Sus scrofa: one gene and its partners. The protein of the gene in region 4 purifies or fractionates together with the protein of the main gene of each other region. This does not show direct contact. Links are inferred from orthologs where the notes say so. Each region holds a gene or a part of one and is shown on either strand. Other genes may lie near its edges.

Evidence for each region.
Region 1: the proteins of TUBB (region 4) and RICTOR purify together in Homo sapiens (affinity purification with mass spectrometry; 3 studies listed by BioGRID and IntAct, with this or other methods). This does not show direct contact. The link is inferred for Sus scrofa from reciprocal best matches to the Homo sapiens genes TUBB and RICTOR.
Region 2: the proteins of TUBB (region 4) and EEF1A1 fractionate together in Homo sapiens (co-fractionation; 3 studies listed by BioGRID). This does not show direct contact. The link is inferred for Sus scrofa from reciprocal best matches to the Homo sapiens genes TUBB and EEF1A1.
Region 3: the proteins of TUBB (region 4) and ARL2 purify together in Homo sapiens (co-immunoprecipitation; 3 studies listed by BioGRID and IntAct, counting the BioPlex papers as one, with this or other methods). This does not show direct contact. The link is inferred for Sus scrofa from reciprocal best matches to the Homo sapiens genes TUBB and ARL2.

The regions. Positions count from the first base shown.
Region 1 is NC_010458.4:24,135,019-24,138,585, forward strand, and holds part of RICTOR (rapamycin-insensitive companion of mTOR), read right to left. Parts: intron 2,443-3,567; coding exon 2,265-2,442; intron 1,491-2,264; coding exon 1,406-1,490; intron 648-1,405; coding exon 414-647; intron 1-413. UniProt on the Homo sapiens protein: Component of the mechanistic target of rapamycin complex 2 (mTORC2), which transduces signals from growth factors to pathways involved in proliferation, cytoskeletal organization, lipogenesis and anabolic output.
Region 2 is NC_010443.5:92,420,556-92,424,760, reverse strand, and holds the start of EEF1A1 (elongation factor 1-alpha 1), read right to left. Parts: upstream 2,811-4,205; 5' UTR 2,778-2,810; intron 2,095-2,777; 5' UTR 2,060-2,094; coding exon 1,916-2,059; intron 1,721-1,915; coding exon 1,541-1,720; intron 1,420-1,540; coding exon 1,123-1,419; intron 1,040-1,122; coding exon 889-1,039; intron 801-888; coding exon 544-800; intron 456-543; coding exon 221-455; intron 121-220; coding exon 1-120. UniProt on the Homo sapiens protein: Translation elongation factor that catalyzes the GTP-dependent binding of aminoacyl-tRNA (aa-tRNA) to the A-site of ribosomes during the elongation phase of protein synthesis.
Region 3 is NC_010444.4:7,164,104-7,168,139, reverse strand, and holds the start of ARL2 (ADP-ribosylation factor-like protein 2), read left to right. Parts: upstream 1-1,207; coding exon 1,208-1,301; intron 1,302-4,036. UniProt on the Homo sapiens protein: Small GTP-binding protein which cycles between an inactive GDP-bound and an active GTP-bound form, and the rate of cycling is regulated by guanine nucleotide exchange factors (GEF) and GTPase-activating proteins (GAP).
Region 4 is NC_010449.5:23,250,620-23,252,800, reverse strand, and holds the end of TUBB (tubulin beta chain), read right to left. Parts: coding exon 1,512-2,181; 3' UTR 561-1,511; downstream 1-560. UniProt on the Homo sapiens protein: Tubulin is the major constituent of microtubules, a cylinder consisting of laterally associated linear protofilaments composed of alpha- and beta-tubulin heterodimers.

The DNA of each region.
Region 1 (3,567 bases), on a different chromosome or scaffold from region 4:
GAAGGGAGGGTGTAAGAGGGAACAGCAGGGAAAACACATTTTTCATGCCTAGAATCATAAAAAAGAACACAGTCTGTTCAAAAACATTACGTCAGTAATGGTAAATCAATTATAAGACAGGAGAATGGTGCAAAAGACAACAGAAAGATCACATTTAGAGTCTTGTATGCTGGACATGAATAATCAGTAAAGAACTGGCAACAGATATCCCAGGCAATGTATAGGAGATGAATTGGAAGGGGCCAAAATTGAAGACTGAAACACTAACGCTCCAAAAGGGAGATGCTAAGTGATTGAACAAAGTGCGATGTAGTGAGAATGGAGTTGGGATGATTAACAGGGCTGAGAGAGGACTTGTGACTAGAGAAGATTCAAATTCAGTTGGATTCATCTAGAAGGACATAATCACTCACCTGAATGACTACAAATTGCACTCAGTTGGTTACTGGGCTGGAAACCCAGAATTTCAATACAGACACAATAAAGGCAGTTATCGTCTGTATGTTCCTGTAGTCCAGTGTCTTCTGTACTTTCTAAAAACAGAGAAGCATCTGAATGGATTGAATTCATTATTTCCGTGAGACTCATCTGCTGTCGTAGCAAGTGAAAAGAGTTTTTTACAAGACCTCCAGTTCCAGATGGAAGACCTGTGCATAAGTAAATATAAAACATAATCTGATGAAGAAAGTATCAATGACACATGGTTCAAGGTGCCTTAAACTACACGAAATTTTAAAGAAGGAAAAGTAGGAAAGAAAACCAGAACTCTTTCAAGGACTTCAAATCTAATCTTAACTGGGGAGAAAAAAAGGTAATTTGTTTTAAACAGCAGATATGTTTATATTAAGATGATGTTTTAAAAACAAAATAAAAAAGATTATACAATTAAGGCATCATTTCAATTACTCTCAATATTTGCATAAAGAAAAGTAGTAATTTGGAGTCTAAAGAGGTCCTTGTTAAGAAAAAAAAAAATCACGATTATAAAGCTTTAAGTCTGTGGCTGATATGCATGTATCAATGAAAATACTTATACAGTACAGGATCTCTCATAATAAAGAGAGATCCTATACTGTATAAGCACATTTTTCTTCGTTTTCCTCCAAACAGCTGTTTCTTAGACATATGAGGGTATTACAATTTTTTTATGTTATTATTTATTTGTTTAAAACAGAAGCACTTCATTTGGTTTTTGTCCTTTTGAGAAGCTAGGTACTTAGTTGTTTCCTAAGTTCTCCACACACGCAACAAAAATACTGTGGTTTAATGTTAAAGTACTCAAACAACTGTTTTGCTTATATTTTTTTAAAGCTGATCCAAAAGTAAGTATACCTGAATTTTGAGTGTCATCCTACTGAGAAGAATTTTCTTTTTAATATAGAGGAGAAAAAAAACCATATGTTACCTCCTGCATCATGGGCAAATACTCTTGCACCTCGATCATCATGTGGAGGTATGTTTTTTGTCTGAAAATAGGGAATATCCTTTACCTAAAATAGACATAAATCATGGTAAGTCCTATTATAAAAAGAAATTCACTTTATGAATGTTAGTACAATTAAATGAAATATAATTTAAACTGAATTACTATACCACATGAACTTGTAATCATAAGATTACTGAAGAGGGTTATTAAATCAAGTCAAAATTTGACAGAATAGCATAAAACCTTTAAAGTCTTATTTATTCTTGATGATTTAAGTGGATATTAAAACAATTATTTATCTGGAATGTCTTTAGACTTCTAAATAAATGTGTATTCTTCAGTACTATCTCTCATCTAGAGATTTCTGAGTTTTTTATGGGACTACCACAAGTGGCTGCCATGTATGGGATAAACGGAGTTAAGGATTACATAAAATAATGTGTACATCATACACTTCAAACTTACACAGTGTTATGTGTCAATTACATCTCAATTTAAAAAACCAACAAGTAATAACTCAAATATAACTAAAAAGCAAAACCAGGAACTAAAATTTGCTACAGAGAACAGACTGATAGAGAAACAAGATACTGTTTTGGTATGATAAGAGAAGAAAAGGATAGTGTTCTGAGGACCTAGAGATGCTAAATAAAAGAGAATAGAATAGTTGAGAAAAGTGAAATAATTTTCATCACAGAATTTCTTTAAATAAAACTACCTTAAAAAAAATCGCTTTCCCCCAAGTTATAATTTCACTCTAGATTATAATTCCTAGTAAGCAGTTATAGAATATGAAAAAACAGTAAACCAACTCACAAGAAAACAGAATTTATGATACCTGGAATATATCATTGATGTCTACTGGAAGGGCAAGACCAATGTAGTCATCTGAGCTACCGTAAGTCGCACTGGACACCATGGACCTCACGGAGGAAGATCGCTGCAGGGTATTTTGGTTAATAGGACTTAATAAATCTTCTTTATCTAACGAAGCATAACTTAAAGCTTTCATGAACCTATAATGCCATTAAAAAAACTGCATTAGTTTCTTGATTTGTAATATCAATCATATAAAGAAATTAGTTTATTTTCATACCTTCATAAAAAAGAGGAAGCCAGTCAAGTACTAAACACTGCCATCTTGTTTACTGAGAACATTATAAATAATTGGAAATATTTATCTCTTATAAATTGATATATAAAAAGCCATTATGTAATGTTGACTGTTGACCAAAAACAACTGTATGGTCTCCCAGGTGAAAGTGAAAAGGTGAGCAATTAAAGATAACTTTCAACATCCAGAAATAAAACAAAACAAAAAACTGACCTCAGAAGTCAGAGCGGTTATCTAAGGATGACCTTCACTGAGACTGCTAGATTTGCTATCATACAACTAAGGGCACATCAACTATCTCTATTTAACATTACTTTCATTAAAATAAGAATGATCACTTATTCTTTGTGTGGTAGGTACTGTAATGCTTTATCAGCATAAGATTTTGTAACACAAAGACACAAAACAATAAGAAAGGTATTATATAGAACTATTACAAGAGATAGATTTTATAAAGCAGAGATATTTTTCCTCAATGCATTCTCATCAGTGATTCTGCAATACGGAATACTGATATTTCCATAAGATACACTTTTCACATAAAGTCATATTCATGCAACAGACATGATAAAATATTTCTGTACACCTGCTTTGTATGTACAAAGCATTACACAAAGTTTCACAGTATATGTATGTTGCCAGTTGAAAACTCAAGTCATCTGAAATGTAATAATATAGCCTGAAATTAAAATGAAGGTCTTGAAAAACACATAAATACTTCATAAATAGAAAGCTACAAAAATTATCATAGCAAAAACCATTCCTACTTTCCACTAATTTTCACCTAAAAACCACACATAATTTAATTTTATAAATTTTATAAAATAGGTCAGTAGTTTTTAAATTTTACTGTCATACCTCTCTGATTCCATAAAACTCTGCAAAGACTACTGGAGTGAAAGGGAAATTATTGAATTAACTGCCTTCACAACACCCATTTCAACCTGAATAGCTCCATTTTTACATATTCCCACATATAAAAATATACATTTCCATATATATTTCATATATTCCCATATTCTCTACT
Region 2 (4,205 bases), on a different chromosome or scaffold from region 4:
TAGCCTTCTGAGCTTTCTGAGCAGACTTGGTGACCTTGCCAGCTCCAGCTGCCTTCTTGTCCACAGCTTTGATGACACCCACAGCAACTGTCTGTCTCATGTCACGAACAGCAAATCGGCCTATTAAAACAAAAATTAAATCACCATGAGAAACACTTTCTCTACATAACTGCTTTTCCATTTTTACTGAAGCTTAATTACACTAAAAAGGCACTCTTACCCAGAGGAGGATAGTCAGAGAAGCTCTCAACACACATGGGCTTGCCAGGAACCATATCGACAATGGCAGCATCACCAGATTTCAAGAACTTGGGGCCATCTTCCAGCTTTTTCCCAGAACGACGATCAATCTTCTCCTTCAGTTCAGCAAACTTGCAGGCAATGTGAGCTGTGTGGCAATCCAGCACAGGTGCGTAACCAGCACTGATCTGGCCAGGATGGTTCAGGATAATCACCTTAGGGAGAAAATTTGCATTTAGCACATTTTAGACATTTAGACAGTTAAGGTTCTGGCAGTTTAAAAACCTGTCACTGAAGTGTTACCTGAGCTGTAAAGCCAGCTGCTTCCATAGGTGGGTCATTTTTGCTGTCACCAGCCACATTGCCACGACGAACGTCTTTGACAGACACGTTTTTGACATTAAAGCCCACGTTGTCCCCAGGAAGGGCTTCACTCAAAGCTTCATGGTGCATTTCAACAGACTTGACTTCAGTTGTAACATTGACTGGAGCAAAGGTGACCACCATGCCAGGTTTGAGAACACCGGTCTCCACTCGGCCCACAGGGACTGTACCAATACCTGAAGTATTCACAGCACAGCATAATTATCTCGTATGAAGACAAACATCACTGCAACCCATACCAGCTGAGTGTAACGTTCAACTTACCACCAATTTTGTAGACGTCCTGGAGGGGCAGGCGCAAGGGCTTGTCAGTTGGACGAGTTGGTGGTAGAATGCAATCCAGAGCTTCAAGCAGTGTGGTTCCACTGGCATTGCCATCTTTACGGGTGACTTTCCATCCCTTGAACCAAGGCATCTAAAACACAAGATCATCAATTAGTGTTTTCAAACTTATCCCTTCCCAGACTTAAGTTTTGAGAACTCATCAAAACCACTTACATTAGCACTTGGCTCCAGCATGTTGTCACCATTCCAGCCAGAAATTGGCACAAATGCTACTGTATCAGGGTTGTAGCCAATTTTCTTAATGTAGGTGCTGACTTCCTTTACAATCTCTTCATATCTCTTCTGGCTGTAGGGTGGCTCAGTGGAATCCATTTTGTTAACGCCAACAATGAGCTGTTTCACACCCAGGGTGTAGGCCAGAAGAGCATGCTCACGGGTCTGCCCGTTCTTGGAAATACCTGCTTCGAATTCACCAACACCAGCAGCAACAATCAGGACAGCACAGTCAGCCTTTAAAAAAGAAAAAAAGGCCACACCCTGTGAAAACCTCTCCAAAAAGGACAGATCCATGGTTTCGCCAATTTATAGATAACTCAAAATGTTACTCTCAGGAGTTCTTAATCCTACAAACCTGGGAAGTGCCTGTAATCATGTTCTTAATAAAGTCTCTGTGTCCTGGAGCATCAATGATGGTCACGTAGTACTTGCTGGTCTCGAATTTCCACAGGGAGATGTCAATGGTAATACCACGCTCACGTTCAGCCTTTAGTTTGTCCAAGACCCAGGCATACTTGAAGGAGCCCTTTCCCATCTGCAGGGATTAAGAAGGGTTACTCGGTAACTAAACTCCTTAGTCCCACTTGGAAGCAATGCTAGGTTTCACTTCCATCTCCTAAACTTGGCTGGAGTTAAGCCACTTAGCAAACTTTGCAATGTACTAGTTCAAGTCAGATATACACTAGTTTTAGAGAACTACCACTTAATTTGCTGACGTTACTTTACCGACCTCCGCAGCCTCTTTTTCGAACTTTTCGATGGTTCTTTTGTCGATCCCACCGCATTTGTAGATCAGATGGCCAGTAGTGGTGGACTTGCCCGAATCGACGTGTCCGATGACGACGATGTTGATGTGAGTCTTCTCCTTTCCCATTTTTGCTTAGCTTTTAGCGATGGCTTTCACGACACCTAAGACGACAAAAACCTTCTTTAAACTACTGTCCCGACGACCGGAGACTCAGGCACAACCCCAACAGCCAAGGGCAAACTCCAGGGAGCATTAGCACCGGCGCCCTGCGGGCCCTGCCCGGCCTACACCCAGCGAACGGGGCCGCCCCGGCGCCCAGCCCCTCCCCCACCCGGGCCGCGAGTCCCGGGAAGCGGCGCGGGCAGCACCGCCCGGCCCTTTGTGCGCCGCCCGCCGTCCGCGTCCTCCATCTTGAGACCGGGAGCGGCCATCTTTCCGCGCTCGCAGCCCGCCCGGGCGGGGCGCTGGGTCTCCGACCGCCCGCCCCGCCCCGCCGCGGCCGTCTGCCCCGGGACCGCCGGGCACGGAGGCCACCTTGGGCGGCCTCGGCTGGGCCGCCCTGGCAGTAACACGCGGCTGCCGGCCGAACTCGAGCGCGAAGACAGACGGGGCGGGCGCGAAGGCGCGGATCGCACGCGGCGGCCACGGCGCCCCAGCAGGCCGCCACCGGGCACGCGGTAGGGAACCGCGAGAGCGGAGGGCCTCGAGTTCTCCACCTCCCCCCGCCCGCAGCTCGGAATCAGGACCAGGGCGCAGAGCCCTCTACGCGCGGGGGGCCGGGAGGCACGCTAAGGCCGTGGCCACCGGCGGAGGCCATGCGGACGGAGGCCACACCCGTACTCACCTGTGTCCTGGCGGCAAACCCGTTGCGAAAAAGAACGTTCGCGGGGACCACGGCGCTTATATATGGTCCTCCCCCACCCTCGGGGAAAAGGGCGGAGCCAGCACACGACACCACTTTCCCAGTTTACCCCGCGCCACCTCCACCCGGCACCGGTTCCACCGCCGTCCCCTCCCCCCATCTTCGGGGACCGTGGGCGATGTGCGTTCAGCCCACTGACGAGCACACGGCGCCCGGCGCATGCTCCTCTCAACCAGGAGGATGACGACTGCTGGTGGGTGGGAGGCGGGGTCGAGCGCTCACTCGGTTCTAGGTTTAGTGGGAGTTTATCGACGGTCCCTGGGATTTCCCTGGCTGAGGAGAGTCCTCCTTTTGTATGAATTACTCTCCGCACAGCTGGGGGGTGGGGCGGCGGGGAGGCGTCCAGAATCTTCCCTGAACCGGTCGTAGCTTAACTGCAAAGTTGGACCGAGATGGGAGCCCTTACCCGGCAGTACCCCACCGGTCCTCAGTCTTGCGGTCTCGCAGGTTAAGGACTAACCCCTGGAGCCGCTTCCTCTGCCGGGGCTTCTCCACCGCCCTTGCCGTCCGCGCCCCTTCCGGCTGGAGAGGGAGGCGTAAAAGGCCGGGGAACCGCGGCGGCAGGGGCCTCGGGGCGGTCTTCAGGGCCGAGAATCCGCGAGTGGCTCAGTTTGCTGACCAACAGCCTGGCGAACAGGCTCCTGCGCTGACCTCTTGGCTTTTTCCATTCAGTTCTTTTATCTAAGTTCGTTCTACACACCACGTGGTACTCCAGACGTCCAGTTTTTGAGTTTAGAATAGACTTAAGTACTACAGTTTTCTTTACTTCTAATCCTAATTTTATTACGTTTAAGACCCTGAGTGTGTGTCTACCCTCCTATTAACATTTTTTTTCCAGTGTATACTCTTGGTTGCAAGCATGAAAAACCTAAAAAGAATTTTTTGAGTTCAGTGCTTATACACGATCTCAAGTAGAGACTAAGATCTACAGCGCCAGGAAGCTTATCCACCCAATTTACTACTCCAACGTTTGCTGTGAAATCACTGTTTCTCAAAAATGGCCTATCCCATTTGAATAAACGGCTTCATCTTTTGTCGTCCTATCCATTGTGACTGCATTTTAGGCATAAATCCAGGGCAAGACAAGATGAGGCCTTTTTGGTTGGCAATCAGGCAGATATTCAAAAATATTCCTGAAGAAAGAGGAACCTTTATTTTAAATGAGCTAATTACTAGATCGTCTCTTCCACGTGTAGAGCACTACTGCAACTTTTTGAGCCAATCTATCAACAAATATTTGAGAACCTACTATGTGGCCAGAGCTAAGAGTGGCTCCGAAGCATATGCAAAAGAAATACTTCCTTTGGGGGAAGAAACCCACAATCTAATTGGAAAAGGGAAACTAATATA
Region 3 (4,036 bases), on a different chromosome or scaffold from region 4:
GGTGTAAGTCACAGATGTGGCTTGGACCTGGCATGGCTGTGGCTGTGGCAGAGGCCAGCAGCTGTAGCTCTGATTCGACCCCTAGCCTGGGAATGTCCATATGCCTCAGGTGCGATGCTTAAAAAAAAAAAAAAAGTGAATGCTTTGTAAAATTACACAGAAGTTAGCCATTATCTTCAGCTGGTGCATGACCTTTCCCAAGCATCAGACAGAGCCTACTCTGCTGCCTACTCACATTTGTCCTGTAGTGGCCTGGGAGAAGGGCTCAGAATAAGACAACAGGGCTCAACCTTCTGAGTTTACAATCTGCCTTGTCCCTGGCCTCCACTTCCTCACAATTTCTGGACTTGAGCACTAAGGTAAAGAACCAAGCTCTTGCACAAAGTCAACAACAAAAATATCCAACAACAAATATTTATTGAGCACCTAGTGTAAGTCAGGCACTGTGCTAAGCACCACATGAGCCTCAGCTTTCTCATAGGCAAAATGAAAAACTGTGCTTCTCAATAGAGAAACAATGAGCACGAGCATCTTGGGTGGGACAATCCTTTGTGGATATCTGTCCCCTGCCCTCTAAATGACAGGTATGTTATCTTGTAACGGGGACAAATCCACTGATGCCCCCACACATTTCCAAACGGCACCTAAGGGGAAGTTCCACCCTGGATGGAGAATTCCCAGAGTACCCTCCATGACTTCAGAAGCCAAGGAAAGGGGGTAAGCCTTGTAAGTGGCAGGTTTAGGATGATGCCCCGGCCCAAGATAAGCAGGATCTGGACCACGTCTCCGGGAAACAGCGCCTTCTATCAGCCCCAGGGTGATGTCAACATCCTTGGGGCTCTCAGGAGTCGGAACTCCAACTCCCTATGCAGCCAAAACACAACCCAGGAACTTGAGGTTTCCGTTCTCTACCATTATCTTTGGACTTTGGGTCCTGGAAGGAAAAGAATGGCAGTGCTCTCGTCACCCAGTCGCTCGGAATGCGAAGGGTTAACGCAGGTTGCCGCGCAGAAGCCCCCCAGTACCGCTAGAGGGACCATCCAACGCAGCGCCGCCGGGCGGCTTCGCGGTCACGTGGGGCGAGGGCGGGACCAAGCGAGAAGCCAGCCAATAGGCTGTGCTGTCGATGGGCTTGATAGCCAATAGGAGCAGGGAAAGGGGTCCCGGGACTAGGAAGAAACAGCGGCTGGGAGGGGGCTACTGGGACATGGGGCTTCTGACCATTCTGAAGAAGATGAAGCAGAAAGAGCGAGAGCTGCGACTGCTAATGCTGTATCCTCCCCGGCGCCGGAGCCGCGAGGGTAGCGGGATGCTGGGGGGGCTCCCACCGGGCGGGCGGTTTCAGGCGCCCCCTGCCGGGAGCGGGATGTGCGGCCGGCTGGCCCGTACCAACTGCCCTTCTGCGTCACTCACGTGGGCCCTACCATCGCTTTTGGCAGGGGGCCGGGAGGAGGCCGTACCACCGGCTCAGGGCGGGGGGGGGACTTCTTCCCAAGGCCAAAGGTATGGGAGTAAAGGCGCAGCGGCCGGGCCTGATGTCCCAGTGTAGGGGGAGGTGAGGCCCGGAGGTGACTCGAACGCTACCACCCGTCGGTCTGGCCCGTGCGTTGGGCCGCCGTTCTCCCCGGTCCTGACCGCCTCCTCCCCCTGTCAAAGGGTGCCAGGCCCCGGCCGCGCCCTCAAGGTCGGAATCCCGGGGGCGTGTGGGCCCCGCCCTCAGCACTGGGCGCAGGTGGCAGGTGGATATGGACTCTGCGGGTAATTTTGCCGCTGGGTCCAGCGCTTGGTTGCCTCCCGGCCGGTGTCACCACATCGGACAGCTTGTAGGCCCGAGAGCCCTGCTGACCTTCTGAGTCCCACTGGCAGGCATCACTCCTCTTTGCCAGCCCCCTATCCCCGGAGAGGCTGTGGTCCAAGAGCTGGACAATAAGATCTGGACCCCCAAGCTCCCCTTAGCAGGGGAGAGAAGACATTTATGTGCGCAAATAACTTGAATCTTCACGTCACGTCTGTTTTGACGAACTCTGAGAAAGGCACAGGGAATTCACTCATCCAGTAGACGTTTTTTGAGCGCCTGCTGTGGACCAGGCACTGTTCTGGGGGCTGGGATAAAACAGCAAAACAAACAAACAAAAATACCCGTATCTTTAAGGATGCTCTGTGTAAGGCTGAGGGGAGAAAGGAGAAAGATGTTAGCTAACAAAATAGGTAAAATATATAATGTGTGGCAATTAAGGCAGTTTAAATAAGGTAGTCAAAGAGGGCCATACTGAGAAGGTACTAGTTGAGGAAAGGCAGGGCGGTGAGGGAGGCACCACGTAGATGTCTGGGGAAATTGTTTAAGGAAAGGGAACAGCACGTGGAACGGCCTCCAGGGAGGAACTCAGCCGGGGTGTTCAGAGGACTGTCTGGGAAGGCGGTGTGGCTGAAAAGAATGAGCCCTGGAAGGTCAGGTCCAATGGAAGAGGCACCTCACCTGGGGCCTTTTGGTTCTGGACTTTTCCTTTAAAAGAAGTGCAGAGAGGGAGTTCCTGTGGTGGCAGAGTGGTAAGGAACCCGACTAGTATCCATGAGGACTCAGGTTCCATCCCTGACCTCGCTCAGTGAGTTAAGGATCCAGCGTTGCATGAGCTGTGGTATAGGTCGCAGACGCGGCTCAGATGCTGTGTTGCTATGGCTGTGGTGTAGGCCGGCAGCTGTAGCTCCACTTTGACCCCTAGCCTGGCAATGTCCATGTGCCACAGATGCAGCCCTAAAAAAGACCAAAAAAAAAAAAAAAAAAAGTGCAGAGAGGAGGTGAGATGTAAGACTAGTTAGGCCCCTGCCGTAACACAGGTGAGCTAGGATGGTAGCTGGGAAGCGGTGAGGTGACGGAAGTTGGGGGGACATGCTGAGAGTCAGGCCAGCAGGAACTGCTGCTGGATTGGACATGAGTGTGAGAAGAGTCAAGTGTGACTCCTGGGTTTCCTGCACCATCAGCAGAATGAGATGTTGGAGGGGCTGGGGAACATATTCAGGGGAAGGTGAGAGCTGAGTTTTGGCCATGTGGGAAGCCTCTGGGACATCCTAGAGATGGCAGCGAGGCAGCTGGATGTAGGGACCCATATCCAGGGGAGCAGCTGGGTGGGATGTATGAGCTTGGGAGTCCTCAGCGTAAAGATGCTGTTTGAAGCCTGGTCCTGGATGAGATTGCCGAGTCAGGGAGTGTGGACAGAGAAGGGGGCCTAGGCCTGCGCAGAGCAGGAGGTCAGGGCGAGGAGGAGGGGAAGGAGGAGGAATGACCGGGGAGATGGGAGAACCAGGCGAGGGGAGGAAGGAACTGGCCACTCTGTCAGCGCTGCTGCTGGAGCAGGAGGAAGAGGGCTGAGGACCGCCCAGCTAGTAAAGAACGACAGGGCCTCTCAGAGGACTGACCTCAGTAAGAGCAGTTTCAGGGAAGCAGTGGGAACAGAAATCTCATGGGTTCAAGAAAGAGCATGATGGAGTTCCCGTCGTGGCGCAGTGGTTAACGAATCCGACTAGGAACCATGAGGTTGCAGGTTCGCTCCCTGCCCTTGCTCAGTGGGTTAAGGATCCGGCGTTGCCTGAGCTGTGGTGTAGGTTGCAGACGTGGCTCGGATCCCGTGTTGCTGTGGCTCTGGTGTAGGCCGATGGCTACAGCTCCGACTGGACCCCTAGCCTGGGAATCTCCATATGCCGCGGGAGCGGCCCAAGAAATAGCAAAAAGACAAAAAACAAAAAACAAAAGAAAGAGCATGAGGACTGAAATTGGAGTGGGGAGTATGGACAGCAGCTTTAGGAGATCTGCTATAAAGGGCACGACGTAGGAGTTCCCTGGTAGCCCAGCGGTTAAGAACTTGGCGTTGTCACTGCTGTAGCTTGGGTTCCATCCCTGGCTCAGGAACTTCTGCATGCTGCAGGTGCAGTCCTGCCCCCCGCCCCCCAAATGGGGAAGGAAATCAAGGAAAAAGTAAGAAAGGAGGGGTCAAGAGAGGCTGTTTTTCACTTCTAAGTGGGAGAGACACCAGCTTGGCAG
Region 4 (2,181 bases):
AGTTGCTAGAATTACTAAATGGTCAGGGATAATTTATATATTTTTAAATTTGTTGAACTTCCAGAACAGCTTAGAGACTTGTTACATTGTGCTCTGAAGCATGGTGTCAGGTGGAACAGTGTCAGTTTAGAACAGGACCATGGTGTAACATCCCTCCAGTGATGTTTGCCTTAAGGTGTCTAAGAAAACCCACAGGGCTAGAGAAAATAGCAGGATACCTATAACCCAAAGGGCCCTAGATAAACTACAAGTGGCTTTGCATTCCTGAGATTCTTCTGGATCACTGTTAAAATTGCCTCGGTCCAACCAGTTTGTTGGGTTCTGGGCAGGGAATCTCCATTTAATCGGGGAGACACTGATGATGCTGGTCTGGTAACCACTTACTTGACCTCAATTCCCTTTTCTACTGCATTTGGGCCTCCAGCCATCCCAGTTATTGAGACCAGGGATTAAAGAATAAAGACATATATCAACTTATGGAAACAGTATATGGTGTAACTGAACTTGAGCCCCATTCCTCCACCAGTGTTTTTTCCCTGAATGAGCACACATCTCGCAACTGTTTTTCAATTCCCATTTATTTTTGGCTCTTGGGGCAGTCATCTTTTCAATATGAAAAAAAGCAAGTTCAACACAAAATAGAAGTGTAGAATAGAACAAAACCAAGAGTAGGGGGGAAAGGCAATAGCAAAAAAGTTAAGAGATGAGATGTTGCCGAAAAGATGTTGTCCCCTCTCTGGCAAATGACATTAGGGTGACAGCACACACCTGTCCATGTATGTACAGAAGGGCTTATATTCATTTTTTCGTGTAAAAAGATAGGCTTAGGGACATGGCTCATCTCTCCCTTGCTCCCCTTGACCCTTTTCTGAACAGAGGAGAGGAATCCAAGGAGGTAAAGGGGAAGAAGGATTCCTCTGGACAGGGTCGGGGCCAGACTCCTACCAAGCAAACAACTCAGGACAGAGCTTGGAGGGAGACTGAAAATGGAGATAATACTGTTAACACCCCCCCAGAAGCTGAGAGGAGTAGGGAGATAAATGGAAATTAGGACTTCAACAGCCTGGAGGCCCCTCTCCAAAGCCCCACCCTTTCCTTGCAGGGACAGGGGAGGTTCCTGCATCTCCTTTCCCCCGGGCTACTTCTCAGGCCTAGGATGGTGGTCATCTATCAGGTTCTAAATGGGATTTGGTTGGAACCCAGCTTCTTGAAGCATTATCTCAAAAACAGGGAAATGTTTACTGGGCAGATGGGAGGAAGTGGGCACCAGAAGGAAACACAGGGTTACCCAGAATGGCAGAAATCTAGGTTCCCCAGAGTGGAAAGAGAGAGGAGACATTCAACAAACAACAAATATTTATTGAGCGCCTATTATGTGCCAGGCACTGTTCTAGATAGACCCCCCCCCCAAAGAAAAACAAGAGGCAGAAAACGCAAATTCTGAGGGAGAGGAAAGGGGCAGTTGAAGAAGGCTGAGGGGGCTGAGAAGCCTGAGGTGATGGGGCTCGGCCTTAGGCCTCCTCTTCGGCCTCCTCACCGAAATCCTCCTCCTCTTCTGCGGTGGCATCCTGGTACTGCTGGTACTCAGAGACGAGGTCATTCATGTTGCTCTCAGCCTCAGTGAACTCCATCTCGTCCATGCCCTCACCTGTGTACCAGTGGAGGAAGGCCTTTCGGCGGAACATGGCAGTGAACTGCTCTGAGATGCGCTTGAATAGCTCCTGGATGGCCGTGCTGTTGCCGATGAAGGTGACCGCCATCTTGAGGCCACGGGGAGGGATATCGCAGACAGCCGTCTTGACATTGTTGGGGATCCATTCTACGAAGTAGCTGCTATTCTTGTTCTGCACGTTGAGCATCTGCTCATCCACCTCCTTCATGGACATGCGCCCACGGAAGACAGCAGCCACAGTGAGGTACCGGCCATGGCGGGGGTCACAGGCAGCCATCATGTTCTTGGCATCGAAGACCTGCTGGGTGAGCTCAGGCACAGTGAGGGCCCGGTACTGCTGGCTTCCACGGCTGGTCAGAGGGGCAAAGCCGGGCATGAAGAAGTGGAGACGTGGGAAGGGCACCATATTGACTGCCAGCTTGCGGAGGTCAGCATTGAGCTGGCCAGGGAAGCGGAGGCAGGTGGTGACACCACTCATGGTGGCAGAGACAAGGTGGTTCAGGTCCCCA